Linked DNA regions of Drosophila melanogaster. The protein of the gene in region 1 purifies or fractionates together with the protein of each later gene. This does not show direct contact. Each region holds a gene or a part of one and is shown on either strand. Other genes may lie near its edges.

Region 1 (3,080 bases):
GGGTTATGCTTTGAAGTGGGCGGATTTTTTGGCGGTGATTACACTGAAAACTATGCTCGATAAAGCTGTGTGCATCAATTCACACTTTAGAGCAAGTCCCATAAGGCTAACTCTTCTGAATATCTTAAAAATGTCTTACAAATACATTCCAAACTATTGGTATAGATAGATATAGGTAATGATACAACTGATATTTGCTAAGAAATACAATACAATACCCCAACTACCAAAACAACAGTGCATCGCTTTTCCATCCAAATTGGGGAGTAGAGCTAGAAATAGAGTTTGCATTTTTAGGGGAAAAACGGTACCTGAAACATGGGTGATCAAAGGATTTGCAGTTTGTACGCCCGTGGGGCTTGCTATGCCACTGCAATGCTAGACTGCAGAAGAGGCCATTGAACTGCATTAGCTAGCGCTTCCGATTTAGTGGTATAAATACCAGTTGCAGCCCAGAGCATTCACTGCATATCCAAGATGTTTAGCCAGCACAACGGTGCAGCAGTACATGGCCTTCGGCTCCAGTCGCTGCTCATCGCAGCCATGCTCACCGCTGCAATGGCAATGGTCACGCCGACTGGCAGTGGTCACCAGTTGCTGCCCCCCGGAAACCACAAACTCTGCGGCCCCGCACTGTCCGATGCCATGGATGTGGTGTGTCCCCATGGCTTTAATACGCTGCCAAGGAAACGTGAAAGCTTGCTGGGCAACAGCGACGACGACGAGGACACGGAGCAGGAGGTGCAGGATGATAGCAGCATGTGGCAGACACTGGACGGGGCAGGATACTCTTTTAGTCCACTGCTAACCAATCTGTACGGATCCGAGGTCCTGATCAAGATGCGTCGCCACAGGAGACACCTGACCGGTGGCGTCTACGACGAGTGCTGCGTCAAGACCTGCAGCTACTTGGAGTTAGCCATCTACTGTCTACCGAAATAGGACACTTGGCCAACACACACACATTCATTACCCAGCATGCATACACATACATACATACATACGAACACTTGAACATGGCATTCCCACATACATACTATATGTACACCCGTTCTCCTAACAGCATTCGTAATCCAATTCGTAATCACTTATTTATGCAGCACCAACTTTGACTAATGAATAAAAGTAGACAGTGCAAAAAGAAGAATTTGTGTGAGCGGCAAAGACAAGACAGTCAAAGGAAAAGTACCAAGGAGGCGTAATTCGTTGCCAGGATGCTGCTGGCTCCAATCAGCTGGCTCGGGTTCTTGTTGGCCTACTCCGGCCTGCCGGGCGCCCAGGCGCGGATTGGTAAGTATAGGGTAGAAATGGTAGAGGCAAACGGGCTGTAAAGGCGAGGTAACTTTAAGACCAAGGACTTATTTGGTATTCATAAATGCAGGGCTTAGTACGGCCTGGCTGTTTATACATAAATTGTTTAATTGGCTGACAGCAAAACGCCCACAAAGCCCTTCTTCTCCCAAACACAGCCACCCAAAAACCACCCACAATTTTCCAATAGCCATTTGCATAAGTCAGCTTTGACATTGAATGAGTTTAGCCAGGCGTTAGAGAGAAGAGCCAACTCCGGAATGCACTCATCGCATCCTAACACAATTTGACAACCTGACTTTTGAGGATAACATGTGTGTGGATCCAGACCCCGACCCCGAGAGACCGACCCCGACCCAGACCCAGTTTAAGTTTCTTACGAGGCAGTATATAAGCCAGTTACTTTGGGCCAAACATCATCAGTTAGCTTTCGACCCGGCTCGACCCAACTTAATCCATTTGATCGTAAAGCAACCTAAGCAGTAAACCCATAACCATGAGCAAGCCTTTGTCCTTCATCTCGATGGTGGCCGTGATTTTGCTGGCCAGCTCCACAGTGAAGTTGGCCCAAGGAACGCTCTGCAGTGAAAAGCTCAACGAGGTGCTGAGTATGGTGTGCGAGGAGTATAATCCCGTGATTCCACACAAGCGCGCCATGCGTAAGTTCTTACAAGGATGCAGATCCTCAAGCTGGCTTTGCTAGATCTACATTGTATCCACGATTTTTATTAGCCGGTGCCGACAGCGATCTGGACGCCCTCAATCCCCTGCAGTTTGTCCAGGAGTTCGAGGAGGAGGATAACTCGATATCGGAACCGCTGCGAAGTGCCCTCTTTCCTGGGAGCTATCTTGGGGGTGTACTCAATTCCCTGGCTGAAGTCCGGAGGCGAACTCGCCAACGGCAAGGAATCGTGGAGAGGTGCTGCAAAAAGTCCTGTGATATGAAGGCTCTGCGGGAGTACTGCTCCGTGGTCAGAAATTAGGCCTCCTAATGCGAAAATCATTGACCCCAACTGACCTGGTCGACGCGATTATCTCTGGATCTGGTTCCAAACCAACCATGTGCATATATACTACAATCGATGTTTTTTACAGCTTGTTGCATGTTACTCTTTACGAATGATCGAAATGGATTAAATATATATTCTGCTTTAAGCTTTGGCAAACAATCGCAAATGCTACTTTATATTATTATTAATTTGGGACGTTACATTTATTATTATCATTATATGATATATATGTTGATTATTACACTTGAATAAAAAGCGATATAACACAAGTATTCAGAAATCTAAAATGAATATATCTTTTTTTCTATTAAAACTAAATTTATTGAAAACAAAAAAAATCTTAAAAAAACTTGAAACAATTTAAACCATTCATTCATTTCCAAAACTTGTTTCTGTCTTAATACAGTAGGCAATCCAATTGCAATTCAAAAGTTAGTCGCATGTGGGAAATTTCCAAATTTTAGTTCATAGCTTTTTTCGTACTTCGTTTATCGATGATTATATCATCCGTAAAGAAGTAATTGATCAAATCTTATAATCAAAACATTGACTTACTTTTATGTTGACCTTAAAAGTCGAGTATTTCTAGTCGCGGTTGGCCGATTTTATAGCAATACTCATAATTTAATCGTTCTGTGTAGTTGTAAATTAGAAGATTATTACATTTTGAAAGCTAAAATAAACGGAATCAACTAAATTCATGCAGACCTTAAATAACAATCACGCATTACCAAATGCAAGGCATTAAAAGTGCAAAAC
Region 2 (7,329 bases), on another chromosome or scaffold:
TGGCTTCCCGATTCGCATGCCACTGACGTGCGCCGTGGTAACAGAAACAGAAGCAGAAACGGCCGAGCCGAGCCCGCGAGATTCGCTGAAAATCGATAAGGACAGGCAAAGTCGCCTGCCAAAATCCTAAGGAGGAGGCGGCGGGGGCAGGAGGACCAGGATGGCAAAGGCGAACGGCACAAAAGCACATTCTTCTGCGGCCAAAGTGAAACCGAGAGCATGTGGGTGGCGCGCGGCAGTGAAAGTGCACATGTCCTTAGTGTCTCGTGTCCTGCGGCACAGTGGAGGTTCGGTCGAATTGATAGGTCCTTTGGATGCTCCTTCAATATCTCCTGGAAGCTATCGAATAAGGTAGGGTGTAATACACACATGTATTGATCAGAAATTACCTCAGTAATAAAATCCAAAAATTAAAAACAATCTTAATTGCTGTACCTTTACATTAAATTTGTGTTGTATATATTTAAGAAATAATAAAGCTTTAAAAACATTGCTAACGTATGTATATTTCCCCCCTGGTAATAAATTAAATATATTCAGAACAGGAAACTGTAGAGCCAAATAACAAAAACAATAGCATAATTCTAGGAGCATGCCGATACTGTAGCTGTGCAAACAATTTCGACCGCCAGTGTGCTACTCGCATGCCTTTTCGGTTGAGAGCGCGAGTGCGCATTTGCCAGGCTCTCAGGCGAGTCCTTTCACTCGCTCGCAGTCCTTTTGTCCGCTCCCGCTGCACAAACAGGAGCCGAGTCCGAGTTGAGAATGAATCGCCGCGCCGAAGAGCACTTCGGATTACAGCCTTTGTGTTTTCGCCCTGAATGAAAGTCAGCCAGCCTGGGCCATCAGCCATCAGCTGGCCCGTTGGGTTGGCTGTGGGCTCCAACGCTTTCTGAATTGCGCTGCCCACGCGAGGCGGCGTCCAAGTAAACAAATACATGTGCGCACGGCTGTGATAATAGGGCGTCGCGCACATGTTCAGCTGTAAGGTCAGAGCACAGCGTGTCCTTACAGTGAGCCATGGCCACAGCGACACACACTAGCAAACGGCCAACAATGGGATCAAAGATCAAGGACAATCTGATCTCTTTTCAAGATTCATTTTATCACATCGATACGAACTTAAAACGATTTTTACATACATAAAGTGCACAATTTGTAACTTGAAGACAATCAGTATTACAATCATTTTCGAGTATAGTTATCTACTTATTAAGAAAATAATCTTGGTGCACAGTTTTCCCATGCTAACTACAATCTGGCAACAAACAAAACGAGTATTATATACAAAAGGCAACGAGGTAGGCTGCTGGAGGTCCGGGAAACGCCACCGCGGACCTGAAAGTTTCCGAAGAAGAAAGTCCGGGGCCGCTTCAGCGAAGGTAGCTGCTGGCACTGCCCGGAGAACCACTTGCGCGTATTTCCATCGCTATCCCGGGATACTATACATATCTCAGCGCCTCGAAGTTTCTCTTCTCCCAGCGTCGATAGCTCTTCCACCGGGATTTGGGCAGTACGATTGTTATAGGCATAGTCCGACTGGTGAAGCACATCGTTGCTACTGCTTCGGATATAAACGTGGAAGTCTGAGACGTCTGAAAAGCCGGAGACATACCAGCATAGGGTCAACATGCCCGCTTTGTTGCTATTTGAAAAATGTACAAGGATTATAAGTTACTTTAAGTTCAAACTGCAAAATATGCATACGTTTTCACTTCTCGGAATCGGACATCTGTAAGCTGTTCATAGTCAATGCCCTTATACATCTCCTGCTCATCCTCGGCGCAGTGCAGATACTCATCGTCCAAAGATATAAGCTGCTTGTCCTTGATCAAAGCCGGCGTTCCGCAGTAAATACTCTTCAAATCCTCTCCAGCTATCGTTTGCTGCAGCATAAAGTATTTCAACGGTCGTGCATTGCATCCGCAGTGCAGAGGATTTCCGGCCAGAAGTACTTGGCTACCATTACGCATGCTGCCCACTATCGAAGCGGGCACATCCTCCAGACTATTGTTGGTAAGATCAACATATTTCAGGGATTTCACTTTCACCAGATTGGCGAACGGCAAGTGGTAGATTTTGTTGTGGGAAAGGTCCAACCAGCTCAGGTTTTGAGGCAGGTCAAAGATGTGCTCTTCAGACTTCAGATTAGATAGTTCATTATAAGACATATCCAAACTTTGAAGTGAAGTAAAATTAGAGATAACTCCTCTCCTTAGATCGTTGATCTGATTGTGAGATACATCCAACCGAACCAGCTTTTTGGTGCCGAATGTAATATCATAGGTCAGTATTGGCATCAAATTGTAGCTTAGGTTCAGGTTTCTTAGGTTGTACGGAATGTACTGATGAGAGGGAAAGGTTTTCTTGGTAACAAAACTTATACGATTGTGACTCAAATCTAAGGTTTCCAAACTGAGTAAATCATCCAGAACACCATTGGTTTTGTTGTCCAACTTGGTGAGAGAATTGAAGGACAGATCAAGGTTTCGCAGAGATGGTAGACCAACAAAGATGTCATTTTGCAGAGTCTGGATTCCGTTCGATGACAAATTTAAAGTGAGCAGCTGCAGCAGTCCCTCAAAAGCTCGCTTGCTACAAGTTATAAATGGGTTATTAGTCATATTATAAATAAAAAATGTACAGATTTTAGATAAATCTTACCTTATATCCTTAACTTGGTTACCATACAGATTTAACTCAAACAAGACGGGCAGCTTACCAAAGGCACTTCGTTCTAAGGTCGTAATATTGTTGTTCTAAATAAAAAGTTGGATGAGTTTGGAGGTTAGAATTCTCATAGCATTTGCTCACCTCCAAATGTAAGTACTGCAGTGTTGACATGACAGCCACCGCATCCTTTGGTGGCTGACTGATGCCATTGTTTTGCAGCTTCAGTCGTTGCACCACCAACAGACCTGTAAAACTCTCCCCGTTTAGAGTGTCTCCCAGCTGATTATGGCTTAGGTCCAAGTAGATCAGTGAGTTCATCACTGGCCAGGTGCCCGATGGTATATTAGTCAGCCTGTTATGGCTGAAGTACAGCTCATTTAGGGAAATAGGCAACTGGAAAAGTTTTTCCAATTGATTATTATTTAAATACAGCTGTCGCAAACTGGTCAACTTGGCCAGCGATCCTCGCACTACGGATACCAGTTCGTTATGACTCAGATCCATTTCCAAGAGGGTTGGCAAAGTGCCAAATGTCGACGACTTGATTTCCCTCATGCTATTATGGCTAAGATCAATTGAGCGTAGCGAGAATAGGGTTTGAAAAACTCCATTAAATATACTGGAGATGTTATTGTGCGAGACATCGATGGTGTGCAGTTCATAGAGCTTTGGAAAACAATTTTTGGGTATTTCGGTAATGCTATTGTACGAGGCATTCAAGACTTTCAAGCCAGTCATATTTTGAATGGGAATCTGTGCCAAATTGGTAAGATTGTTGTAGCTCAGCTGAAAATAGGTCGCGAAAGTGGTCTCATCGAAGCTGCGACGCGAAAAGTTGGCCAACCGATTGTGAGACAAGTCAAGAACCGTGATGTTTACACAATTTTCAAATGCAGCTGTTTCAATGAGTTCCAAAGCGTTATGCGATACGTTTATGATAGCCTGGTAAATATCCTTGAAAGAGTTCTTTTCAATCTTGGTTATGTTGTTCTCCGCCAAATCGAGCAACTGAAAAGCAGCAATTAGTTAAATTTTTCAAATTTTATATTAGCAATTGTACCTCCACATAGTTCATCTGGGTAAACATCTGGAACTCGATCTTCTTAAGACGGTTGCGTGCAAGATCAATAGTTCCAATGCGGGCAATTGAGCCGAAAGTACCACGACCAATATCCGTGAGCACATTATCGCTGAGGAAAAGACGACGGAGGAAACGCATACCCCTAAAACTATTCGCATCTAGGCGTGCAATCTGGTTGTGGGACAAATGGAGCACCTTCAACACAGAGTTTCTGGCAAAAGTTCCGCGACTAAGTTCGCTTAGGGCATTATGAGAAACGTTGCACCATCCCAGCTTTGTCAGATCAGCTATGTGCTGTGCCTCCAGCTTTTTGATCTGGTTGTGACTTATATCCAAGACCTCCAACTCTCTTAGATTCTTAAATTGGTTTCGTTTCAGATTCTCCAATTGATTTCCATGCAAGTCGAGCGTTTTTAGTTTCCGCAATGGCTGGAAAGTCTCAATAGGCAGATCACTTAGGTTACCATTGGTCACACGTATGATTCCCAGACTATTGGCGATCTCTTGGCCAGCAAATAGATCCTTGGGTAGCTGTTGGAACGCATGGCCATCGATTACGAGTTCCTTAGCTTTTCCTAGAATCTGAAAAAAGAATTTCCCGTTTAGATAACGATGGTATCGGTATATTGTTTAATTCTTACGCCGAATCCTAGTAAACCAACGTGGCTTAGATTTGTGCGAAGTAAATGCAGTTGCTCCAAAGTATTATTTACTCCATAGAAAACATAATCCTCAATGGTGGCCAATGGTGTTTCTTCTATGATCAGCATTCGTGCTTTGATATGAGCAAATAGTGGCCCATATAGACGAACTAGAAAGAGAATTTGATTCTTCAGCTTAACAGACTAAAAGGACGTGTAGAAGTACACACCGAAATGTCCTCTGTAGATGGTCAACTCCTCGATGGGCATACCAAAAGAGGCCAAATTCTGAAGGGCTACGGATAAGGTAGCCAAGTTTGTATTTTCGCACCGAATGTAGAGGCCATTATCGCTGCCCTTCACACATTCGCAGGGGTACAAGGCCTTTGATCTGATTTGAAAAAAAAACACCATATAAGTGAAGAAATATGTAATATACAATATTTGGAATAACTCACTTTTTTGGACACTTGAATTCGGGTTCGCCATACACATATTCCGAACTGGCTAGGGCAATGAAGTGCAGCAAAACGAGAGTGCGCAGGCGTAGCTGAATCATGTTTTAATGATTTCGTCACCGTTTTAATTTAGTTTATCCCATGGCCCAAAACCAAGTTCGCTGCTCAAGTCTTTTGTGTGGGCTTCGATTTCCTGAAACTTATAGTTCTTTGTTTAACGATGTTCCGCTTGAATGAGGTGGGTTTTTTTTTGGGATGTGGAGTAAAGTTAACTTGTCTTATCAACGAACAAAGGTAAATGGTTTCTTCTACTTTTACTTTTCGCTCTGCTGGCGCAACAGGTTTTCATGGGCCGCTCTTGTGCGCTCTTTGTGACCAGCACTTTGGAGCTCTAATTGAATTAATGCCAACTATATTAACTGCTCCCGAAAGTCAGAGCACTGTGAACCACAGTTTCCACTTCGGTTCCCCCATTTATTCCGCGGTTTTAACATATTTTTATTTATTTTACCCTTGGCGCACAATACAATCGATAGATTTCGGGCGAGTTGGCAGCCCCGTTGAACCATCGCTTCAGACAATCGGCATCCCAAATATCGAATCAGCCGCACACGCTAATACAACCCTGTTGTGACATCTCGCTCGTTGGAAAAGCAAAAACCAGGCGCAAAATAAATATAATTTGCTAACGTTACTCTACAATTATCTTTGTACAATCGCACAAGCAAACGTAAGTACCAAAAGACAAACGAACGCAACGAACCAAATGGCCAATTCAAAGCGCGCACTTTTTGGCATTTTGCAATTGAAATGAGTGGGCATTGTTCACGTTGCTCGCCTCGTCGACAGGGAGAAATACTGACTTCGCCCGTTTTAGCCGCCATCGCGACTGCAGCCAATCACGGGCCGCGCTACACACACGCGGCAGAAAATCCGTGTACATACACGTCTGAGCGCTGTGGTATTGGTGGCCGGGGAGAACGCGAGTTACTCGCTGCATAGAGTAGCCCACTATGTGTTTATTGCGCGGCAAAAGTGCGTTAATCGGTTAAAGCCGCTACTTACATTCTGTTCTTTGCATCTCCCCCATCCACAGCTATAAAGCAAGATGAGCTACGCCGCTGATGTGCTGAACTCGGCCCATTTGGAGCTCCATGGTGGTGGCGACGCCGAGTTGCGTCGTCCATTCGATCCCACGGCCCATGATTTGGATGCATCCTTCCGCCTTACACGCTTCGCAGATCTAAAGGGGCGCGGCTGCAAAGTGCCGCAGGATGTGCTCTCCAAGCTGGTGTCCGCCCTGCAGCAGGACTACTCTGCCCAGGACCAGGAACCGCAGTTTCTCAACGTGGCCATTCCCCGCATCGGTATTGGCCTGGACTGCTCCGTCATTCCGCTGCGACACGGCGGACTCTGCCTGGTGCAGACCACCGATTTCTTTTACCCCATTGTCGATGATCCCTACATGATGGGCAAAATTGCGTGCGCCAATGTGCTCAGCGATTTGTATGCCATGGGAGTCACAGATTGCGATAACATGCTGATGCTGTTGGCGGTCAGTACCAAGATGACAGAGAAGGAGCGTGACGTGGTCATTCCGCTGATAATGCGAGGCTTTAAGGACTCCGCTTTGGAGGCAGGCACCACTGTGACTGGAGGCCAGAGCGTGGTCAATCCGTGGTGCACCATTGGTGGGGTTGCCTCGACCATTTGCCAGCCAAATGAGTATATTGTGCCAGATAATGCCGTGGTAGGGGATGTACTGGTGCTAACCAAGCCACTGGGCACCCAAGTGGCCGTGAATGCCCACCAGTGGATTGACCAGCCGGAGCGCTGGAACCGCATTAAGCTGGTGGTGTCCGAAGAAGATGTACGCAAGGCCTACCACCGGGCGATGAACTCTATGGCTCGCCTCAACCGCGTAGCCGCTCGCCTCATGCACAAGTACAATGCCCACGGAGCCACCGATATTACTGGATTCGGACTACTAGGCCACGCTCAAACCCTGGCTGCACATCAGAAAAAGGATGTCTCCTTTGTTATCCACAATCTGCCGGTGATCGCCAAGATGGCTGCAGTGGCCAAAGCCTGCGGCAACATGTTCCAGCTGCTGCAGGGCCACTCGGCGGAGACCTCGGGAGGATTACTGATCTGCCTGCCGCGAGAGCAGGCCGCTGCTTATTGCAAGGACATCGAGAAGCAGGAGGGCTACCAGGCCTGGATCATCGGCATCGTTGAGAAGGGCAATAAGACCGCACGCATCATCGACAAGCCCCGCGTCATTGAGGTGCCCGCCAAGGACTAGGTCTCCATTGCCTGACCATCTGCTATTGTCTACCTTAAGTATCTTAATATTAACGTAACGGCTGCTACATTCAGTTGTAACCGGCATGATCGGTCTTTGTTTTTTATAAAAAAGCTTATCAACTACAGATTCACTGATCATTATAATCTTGGACGTCTCTACTGCAATACG
Region 3 (6,963 bases), on another chromosome or scaffold:
AACTGCTAAACTGACGCACTGACATCGACGAACCGCACCCAAAGTGCTTGGCCCGGCAAGTGCATAGATAACAAACGAGTGCAAGGATAACGAGGCTACACGGCAAGGACTACGTTTGCAACCACAGCTACAGCTGCTACTACAACTGCGTCTATGGCAACGGAAATAACGCGAAAAATGGTGCAACAGCAAAGGGCGAAGAGGAGGGGACAGTGAAATATTGAAATACAATTGGTTTAGGATAAGATCACACACAGCCCCATATCTCTTCCTTCCTCCACTTAAAGACGGCGCCAAAGGATGTGGCATAAGTGGTTTCCAGCTGCCCAGCATTTTGCTTTAAGTCCAGCCAGTTGATTTAAATGGCTACATCAAAAATTGAAAAAGAGATTAGTTACACTCAGTAGGTTGAATAAGGTTTGCCAGCGGGTATTAGCTCACTAAAAAGAAACTCTAGCTTAGACTAACAAATATGATAAACTTGAGTATTTTTAAAGGGAATTTTATTGTAGACAATGAAATGTTATACCTTTTATTGATTGGCTTTCAATTGCAGTATATTATATATGACCTAAATTTGTGCTAGTGAGTTTCTTGCAGTGAAGCTTCCAAAGTACGCGAAGGGATAGTCGCCAAGTTACCCCCTTTGGAGTACTTCACTCGCGACCTCTAAGGTAGTTAAATTGCGCGTCAGTGTCAGCGGCAGAATTGAAATCCTTTTCCTCTGCAGGCACTCTGAGCGTCCTTAGCTTCCCGCATCCCGCTCACCCCTCGCCGCTCATACTTAGTCCTGCGTCAATCACGAACCGCTTTTCCCCATTGAGTGGGACACGTTTTCATGGAACTTTTCCAGCTGCGCCGAAAACTTGGCCACAAACAAGGCGACACATGACACGTACTCGACTTGACTCCACTCCACACCGAAAGCAAAAGCATCGTCTCGACCTAGTCCCTTTCCGCCCAGTTTTCGATGGTGGGGATTAGTTCTAGTTTTTGTCAGTGTTTTAAAGTTTAAAGCTCTTTTGCGGCATATTTGCATATTAAGTGGCATGCGTTGGAAGTTCCAGGCAGCCTGCTGTTGTTAGTTTCGCCTAGGCTTATGCCATGGCCAATCTCGAGAGAAAGGTAACCGCTTTCCGGGCCAAGTTGAGGATCTCAGGAATCACTGCTGTCAGTGAGGGTTTTTCCCTTTGAACGGTTTCTGGCTCTGGCACACATTGCAAGGACGTGCGGCTAAGTCTGATAAGCTGATAAGTCAAATTAGCACTGATGAAAACATTTGCTCGCTTGTCGAGGATTTGTTTGGCATTTACACATTTACAATACATTTGGAGGAACTACAGTCACTTGACTTACAATACTTAGTTGGGCCCATATGACACGGCTTACACATTACATTACATTTTAACAATTGATTCAAGTAAAAAGCATTAAAGCTGTTCAGTCTAATTATAATCAAAGTTAAAAACCGAAAAATATTAAAAAAAAAAATTAATTCCAAATAGTAAAACTACGACATATATAGTCTGGAAAAATAAGAGGTCCAGCGGTCCTTCTATGTCAAGTTTTTTAGAACAATAAATACAGATATAGTAAATGTTAAACACGTTGATTTAGGTTGATATTGCATCAAGTTTTCAACATGCCTATCGTCATATGGGTCTAGCATTTATCACTTGTCAGCGGATACAGAAAGTCTGCGATCGAGGATTCTCTGCTAAACACCCTTGATGAATCGCTCCAGTTGGATGCTTGCAGTCTTGATTACAGCTTCCGCCGGAGTTGAGCATCCGTTGACCACGCCCTCGACGCAAGCCCGTATGGTGATCCGGTAATGGGTTTCCGGCTCCAACTGGGAGAGGCAGTAAAAGTGCTGGGTGCCCGGAAGTTCGTAGCCACTCAAGGGCTCCTCAGCCACGCATTTTTCCTCCACTTGCTGGACCACGGATGCGTGGGAGTTTTGGCACTTGGGCAAGGCATGTCGGATGGTATACTTGTGCTGGTCCAAGTCCTGAAGATCCCGCTGCTTCTTCTCGCTATTCAGGCGATAATTCTCATAGTTAATTGCGGCCAATCTCTCCTTAGCCAATGTTGCATTTGTAGGAGCAGGAGTGGTTGTGGGCGGTCTGGTGGGCTCTTCATCCTTCTTTATGGACAACAGGTGCTCATAGTTAATCACTTTTTCGAACTCCTTTCTGCGATAGTCGTGATTGCGCCTATAGATGGTATAATATTGTATATTATTTCAATTGAAACTTCAAAGAAAACCATATTTTCTTGTCTTACGAAACATAAATGAGATTGGGCAACGCATCCTCGTAGGTGATTTGCTCTTTGTTGTAGTAATCCTCGTCATCTGGCTGAGGACCTGAATAGTAGGGCAGTACACCAGCGCACTCACAATCGATGTCTTTAGCATTTTCCAACTCAACATTCACATAATTTTTGTCCTTTGCTTCCTTGGTAGCATTGTACTTTTCGGCGGTCACAAAATAATTTTTAATGACTCCATTTGGACGCCTCGGTGGCCACCAGTGAAGAAGCTGGAAATGAACAAGTTTTTAAGCTGAGAGATATATTTTGAAAAGTACTTACAATCTGGGAACTGATTTCCGAACTGCCATATATTCGGAGCACAGGACTTGGCCTATCCGGTAGCGTCTGGAAGTAGCCGATTTTTGAGTAGGCATCTATCTGAATATGATATTCGGTTCTGGTGAGGGTCTTCACGAAATACGCATACTGTGTGTAGGGCTTCAGACCGCTTATCACATGACGTCGACTCTGGTTGGGCACAACGTCCATCAGCCAGCTGGAAAATTATAAACAGAATCACTGTAGGTAAACTTGGTGAGGGCGAGGAGTCCACACCCACTTGTCATGACCGCAACCATGCCGACCATCGTACATAGTCACGTTTTGCACCGGGGCTTCCTTGTAGTGATACGAATATCCTATTAGCGTTTCCATACCCTCCCAGTCCATGTAGTCCAGGATGATGCGTACCGCAGTGGAATTTAGGTCCTCCACTTTGGGATTGAGGGAGCGCACCGCGTCGCCACAAATCACGCGTTCGCCGTTCGAATTGGGGGATACATCTGCCACGGATATATTCTCTCCGCTTTTCAGGGAGCCCTGTAGCTGATGGATTTTCTCGTAGCACAGGCGGGGATTCAGGTGAAAGAATAGTGTACCGCGCTGAATGATCACCAGGTGATTGGGTGGCCAAATGTGCTCCAAATGGTAGTTATTCACTACATACAGGGCGTATCTGAAAATGAGATAAATAATATTATTAGAATTTCAATACAATCCTTGCCTCTCAAACTAACTTGTTTTCCACCAGCTTATCCCCTCTTATGGCATCCAAATTCTGAAGAAATGTGAGCGACATCAGCTGTGCAGAGTGTATGACCTTCAGATACCCAGTGATCTCTTTAACACTGGCCAACGCATTTTCCAAGGCATCTACAATTTTTTCTGGAAAATGTATTATGTAAGTAAATTATACAGATATCATATATGATATGAAACACACCTTTAATATTGGTGAGTTCGATGGTAAGTGAACCATTGATCGTCACACAGTCTTGTAAAACTTCCAGGTCGGCAGCACTCTTCACGTGAAAATCGCCGTTGCACTCCACCTGGCAGTGGATGATGCCCTTGGCGACCAAAATCTCTTTCTGGTTTCCCGGACACTTTTTCACACACTGATAGCCGCGTATCAGGGGAATCCTTCCCAATTCCCGGCACTCCCTGTGACCGATGCACCTCCTCTTGTTTAATTCATAGCTGGCGACACACTGATTGACACATCCCATTCTTCCCTGGTAGTTTGCACAAAGGGAGCAGTTTTGGGAATAGCAACCAGTTACACAGTTGTGATCACAACATTTGCCCGCACTATCACATCCGTTTAGGCCACATGCAATGGGGCAGTCCTTAAGTCTGGGCGGTTGGGGGCGAAGTTGTGTCGTATTCACGTTCCAGCAGCGCTCCGAGGAGTTCCGGATGAACTCGAAGTCCGCTGACAGGCTACCACACAAAGGGCACTGACTTTGCGGTCTGTTGTGCTATGGTTAATAAAAAAGTTATTTATCCAATATTTGCTTAATATCAAGGAACATATGCCCAAGTATATCTTCACTCACTTTAAGGGAAAAGTGCTGCCGAGTGGCATTGCCCATTAGATATATCCAATCGACGGTTTCCACGAAGCACAGCAAGGGATTCGATTCGACGCGAATGAATCCGCTCTGGATGCGCAATAACTCCACCAGGCCGAGCTCCCTGAGATTGCGATTCTCGTAGACCACCAGGGAGTACTGATCAAAGAGGAGCTCCTGCCCACGAATGATACGCAGCCGTGGGAATATCGACTGCAGGCTGATCAGACCCGTGCAGCGATACACCATTAGGTAGTCACTGATCTCGGTCACATTGCTGGCCAGCGAATCCAGGCTGTAGTTGCCGGATACATCCGTCAGATCCACATAGGCCAGTCGAACGTGACCCACCACATGAGTACAGTTCTGCAGTTTCCGCAGGTCCGCAATCTTATTTATCTCCAACGATCCGCAGGCGGTTTGATCATCGGAACTGGCCAAAACCGGCGATGAGGCGCCCAAAAACAGCAGTATCAACGGAACTGCGATCGAGATGGGGATCGGAAGGGGGTTGGGAACGGGGTGCAGATGCCCCATGCTGCCACCTGACACTTCCAATTGAGAGCACTTGACCCGGGCGTTAAGGGGGCTTCCAATGGATCAATTAGCGCGCCCGCTTGAATGTCAATGTCGTTTTTCTCGCACGATCGATCGGTTGAACTATATATTTTTTTAAATATTTTTTCCGCTTTTGAAGAGAGCTGCGTTCGCGGCAACGATTCGATTTGGACTGATGGCATTCGATTCGAACAGCGTTCTGTGCTTTCGATCTCTTTAATTAGCCTCTTCTTTCGGCATTCACTTTGTTTTGTTTTGTTTGGTTTTGTTTCACACTGTTATTTCTTTTTTATGCGCTCGTCTTCGTTCTCTAAACCCTTCGGCTACACCAGCGGAAAATCGTGTAGTGTTCATAAAACTATTCAAATTTGTCGACATTTATAAGAACCTAAAAATGTATGCAAAGCGAACATATTTAGTAACCTTTTTCTTAAGCAAAATATCTTTTAAGCAGATTTCCAAAATTATTACAATAATAAAATATTTAGCATATTGTTTGATAGAGCCAATTCTAATATAAATATCTAAATATCTTCAAAAACCAGAACTATTTTTTCGACTCGGTGTATAAAAACTGCTCAAGAATGAAAATCAAAGGTGGTGGCTGTTGTGAGAGAAGAAGACTGATGATTCGATGGGGAGCAGTCTGGTAATATTTACGTTAATGAAAGTAAACATTTCGTAAAACAATATCGTAAAATAATATACTTGCCGGTCTTGCTATTTGTTTGTTTCTAGTTTTCTCAATCAAATTTAAACCCCCTAATGCCCTTTTGCAGTCAATTAAAAAAGTGATATACGAAACTTAAAATTAAGATTAAGAGTACCATGATAATTCGTATGATCTTTTACGGTTTTTGATAGATCGATTTGTGGAGCTACAAATGAAATTCAAAAACTGGAAACCCTTTTTGAAATTCTTGGCACGCCACTGTTTCATTTTGTTGGGGAGCGATTATTTTACGCATCTGTTACCTTTCACGTTTTTCTCATTGTCGTTTCCTTGTTGCCGTCAGCCGAAAAACACTTGTTACTTCTGCAACCGCCACAGCCCCTTGCCACGCCCCCACTCCCCATGTGACCTTGCAACCATTTGCAAACCGGTTGGATCCTCTTCCCCCTTCCTCCTTAGCTACCTTCCCCTTAGCCACCTACCGGCGTTCTTTACCTTTTTCCCCAGAGTGCATGTCTTTGCCTTTTGTTTTTGCATTTGCGCAGAAATTAAATTGCACCGGCGAACAATTCAATTAGAGTGAATGCAAAAAAACAGTGAAAATAAGAGCGAAAATGGTGGGAGGGGGTGAACCAAAGCTCCAATCCAATTGGTAGAGTAGTGAGCATTGAACAACGCGCAATTGGCAGTTCATTAAGGTGCAAGTAACGCTCAATGGAATCGGAAAAAGAATTTTCTAAATTTAGTCAGATGCCAATTGAATACGCAGCTTGAATGATTGTTCAATAACAAAAAAATAGATAATATATTTATGTGTTAAATACAATAGCAATAGAAATCTATAAATAATTTGCGCAAAATTGTGCCCCGTTGTTTTAGATATTTTAATGGGCAAACCACATAAAAACGCACGAAATAATTTCAAATTTTCACTTTGTTATTATAGGGTATATCTTTAGTGTAGTACTTTGAATATATCATTACATATGTAACAGCGGATAAAATCTGCCTAATTCACCCCAGGATAATTATTTAGTTATTATATCTATTCCAAAAATTATTTTAAACATAATAATTTATGTTACCGTCGCGATAATCCATTCAAAATTAGTTAATAATTGATAAAACCATCATCAATGGTCAATATAGGCAGTAATTTATTATTATTATTTATCATAAAACGTTATTTTTAGCTTTAAATATGCTTAAAGCCAACTTCTATTTCTAAAAACAAAACTGCCATAAACTGTATCTTTTTTTAACGAGTGCAAAATGCACAAATTCACGCAAAATCACCAGCTGCACCCACATAAAAAATCGCAGTAAACGTGTGAAAAAACCACACAGGCATAACTATCAATGATTTTTTCGTTAGCTGATGTGCTCTTTTTCTCCGTTTTCCCGCCACCCGCCTGTGAATCAATTTTCGCAGTAATTTGCAGAGCCTGCGCTGATGTGAAACGCGCGGAATTTAATGCAGCATCCTTTCCGGCGGCACGTCAAACTATGAGCATCCCCACCAGCGCCCACTACCACCCCTCACCACGGAAGCCCCCATAACCA

What was found.
Region 2: the proteins of Ilp2 (region 1) and conv purify together in Drosophila melanogaster (affinity purification with western blotting; one study listed by BioGRID). This does not show direct contact.
Region 3: the proteins of Ilp2 (region 1) and Sdr purify together in Drosophila melanogaster (affinity purification with western blotting, with the first as the bait; one study listed by BioGRID). This does not show direct contact.

Annotation. Positions count from the first base shown.
Region 1 is NT_037436.4:9,797,957-9,801,036, forward strand, and holds Ilp2 (Insulin-like peptide 2), read left to right. Parts: upstream 1-1,741; 5' UTR 1,742-1,807; coding exon 1,808-1,970; intron 1,971-2,043; coding exon 2,044-2,294; 3' UTR 2,295-2,484; downstream 2,485-3,080. Other genes in the region: Ilp1 (Insulin-like peptide 1), read left to right, coding at 478-942; CG32052 (uncharacterized protein), read left to right, coding at 1,215-1,290. UniProt on the Drosophila melanogaster protein: Possible ligand of InR/insulin-like receptor. Plays a role in regulating body size by increasing cell size and cell number of individual organs.
Region 2 is NT_033778.4:14,268,795-14,276,123, reverse strand, and holds conv (convoluted), read right to left. Parts: upstream 5,396-7,329; 5' UTR 4,955-5,395; coding exon 4,854-4,954; intron 4,787-4,853; coding exon 4,626-4,786; intron 4,566-4,625; coding exon 4,396-4,565; intron 4,337-4,395; coding exon 3,734-4,336; intron 3,682-3,733; coding exon 2,815-3,681; intron 2,760-2,814; coding exon 2,665-2,759; intron 2,596-2,664; coding exon 1,708-2,595; intron 1,646-1,707; coding exon 1,252-1,645; 3' UTR 629-1,251; downstream 1-628. Other genes in the region: Sps1 (selenophosphate synthetase 1), read left to right, coding at 5,962-7,158.
Region 3 is NT_033777.3:14,916,621-14,923,583, reverse strand, and holds Sdr (secreted decoy of InR), read right to left. Parts: upstream 4,957-6,963; 5' UTR 4,707-4,956; coding exon 4,155-4,706; intron 4,077-4,154; coding exon 3,539-4,076; intron 3,481-3,538; coding exon 3,333-3,480; intron 3,272-3,332; coding exon 2,876-3,271; intron 2,813-2,875; coding exon 2,596-2,812; intron 2,544-2,595; coding exon 2,287-2,543; intron 2,217-2,286; coding exon 1,718-2,216; 3' UTR 501-1,717; downstream 1-500.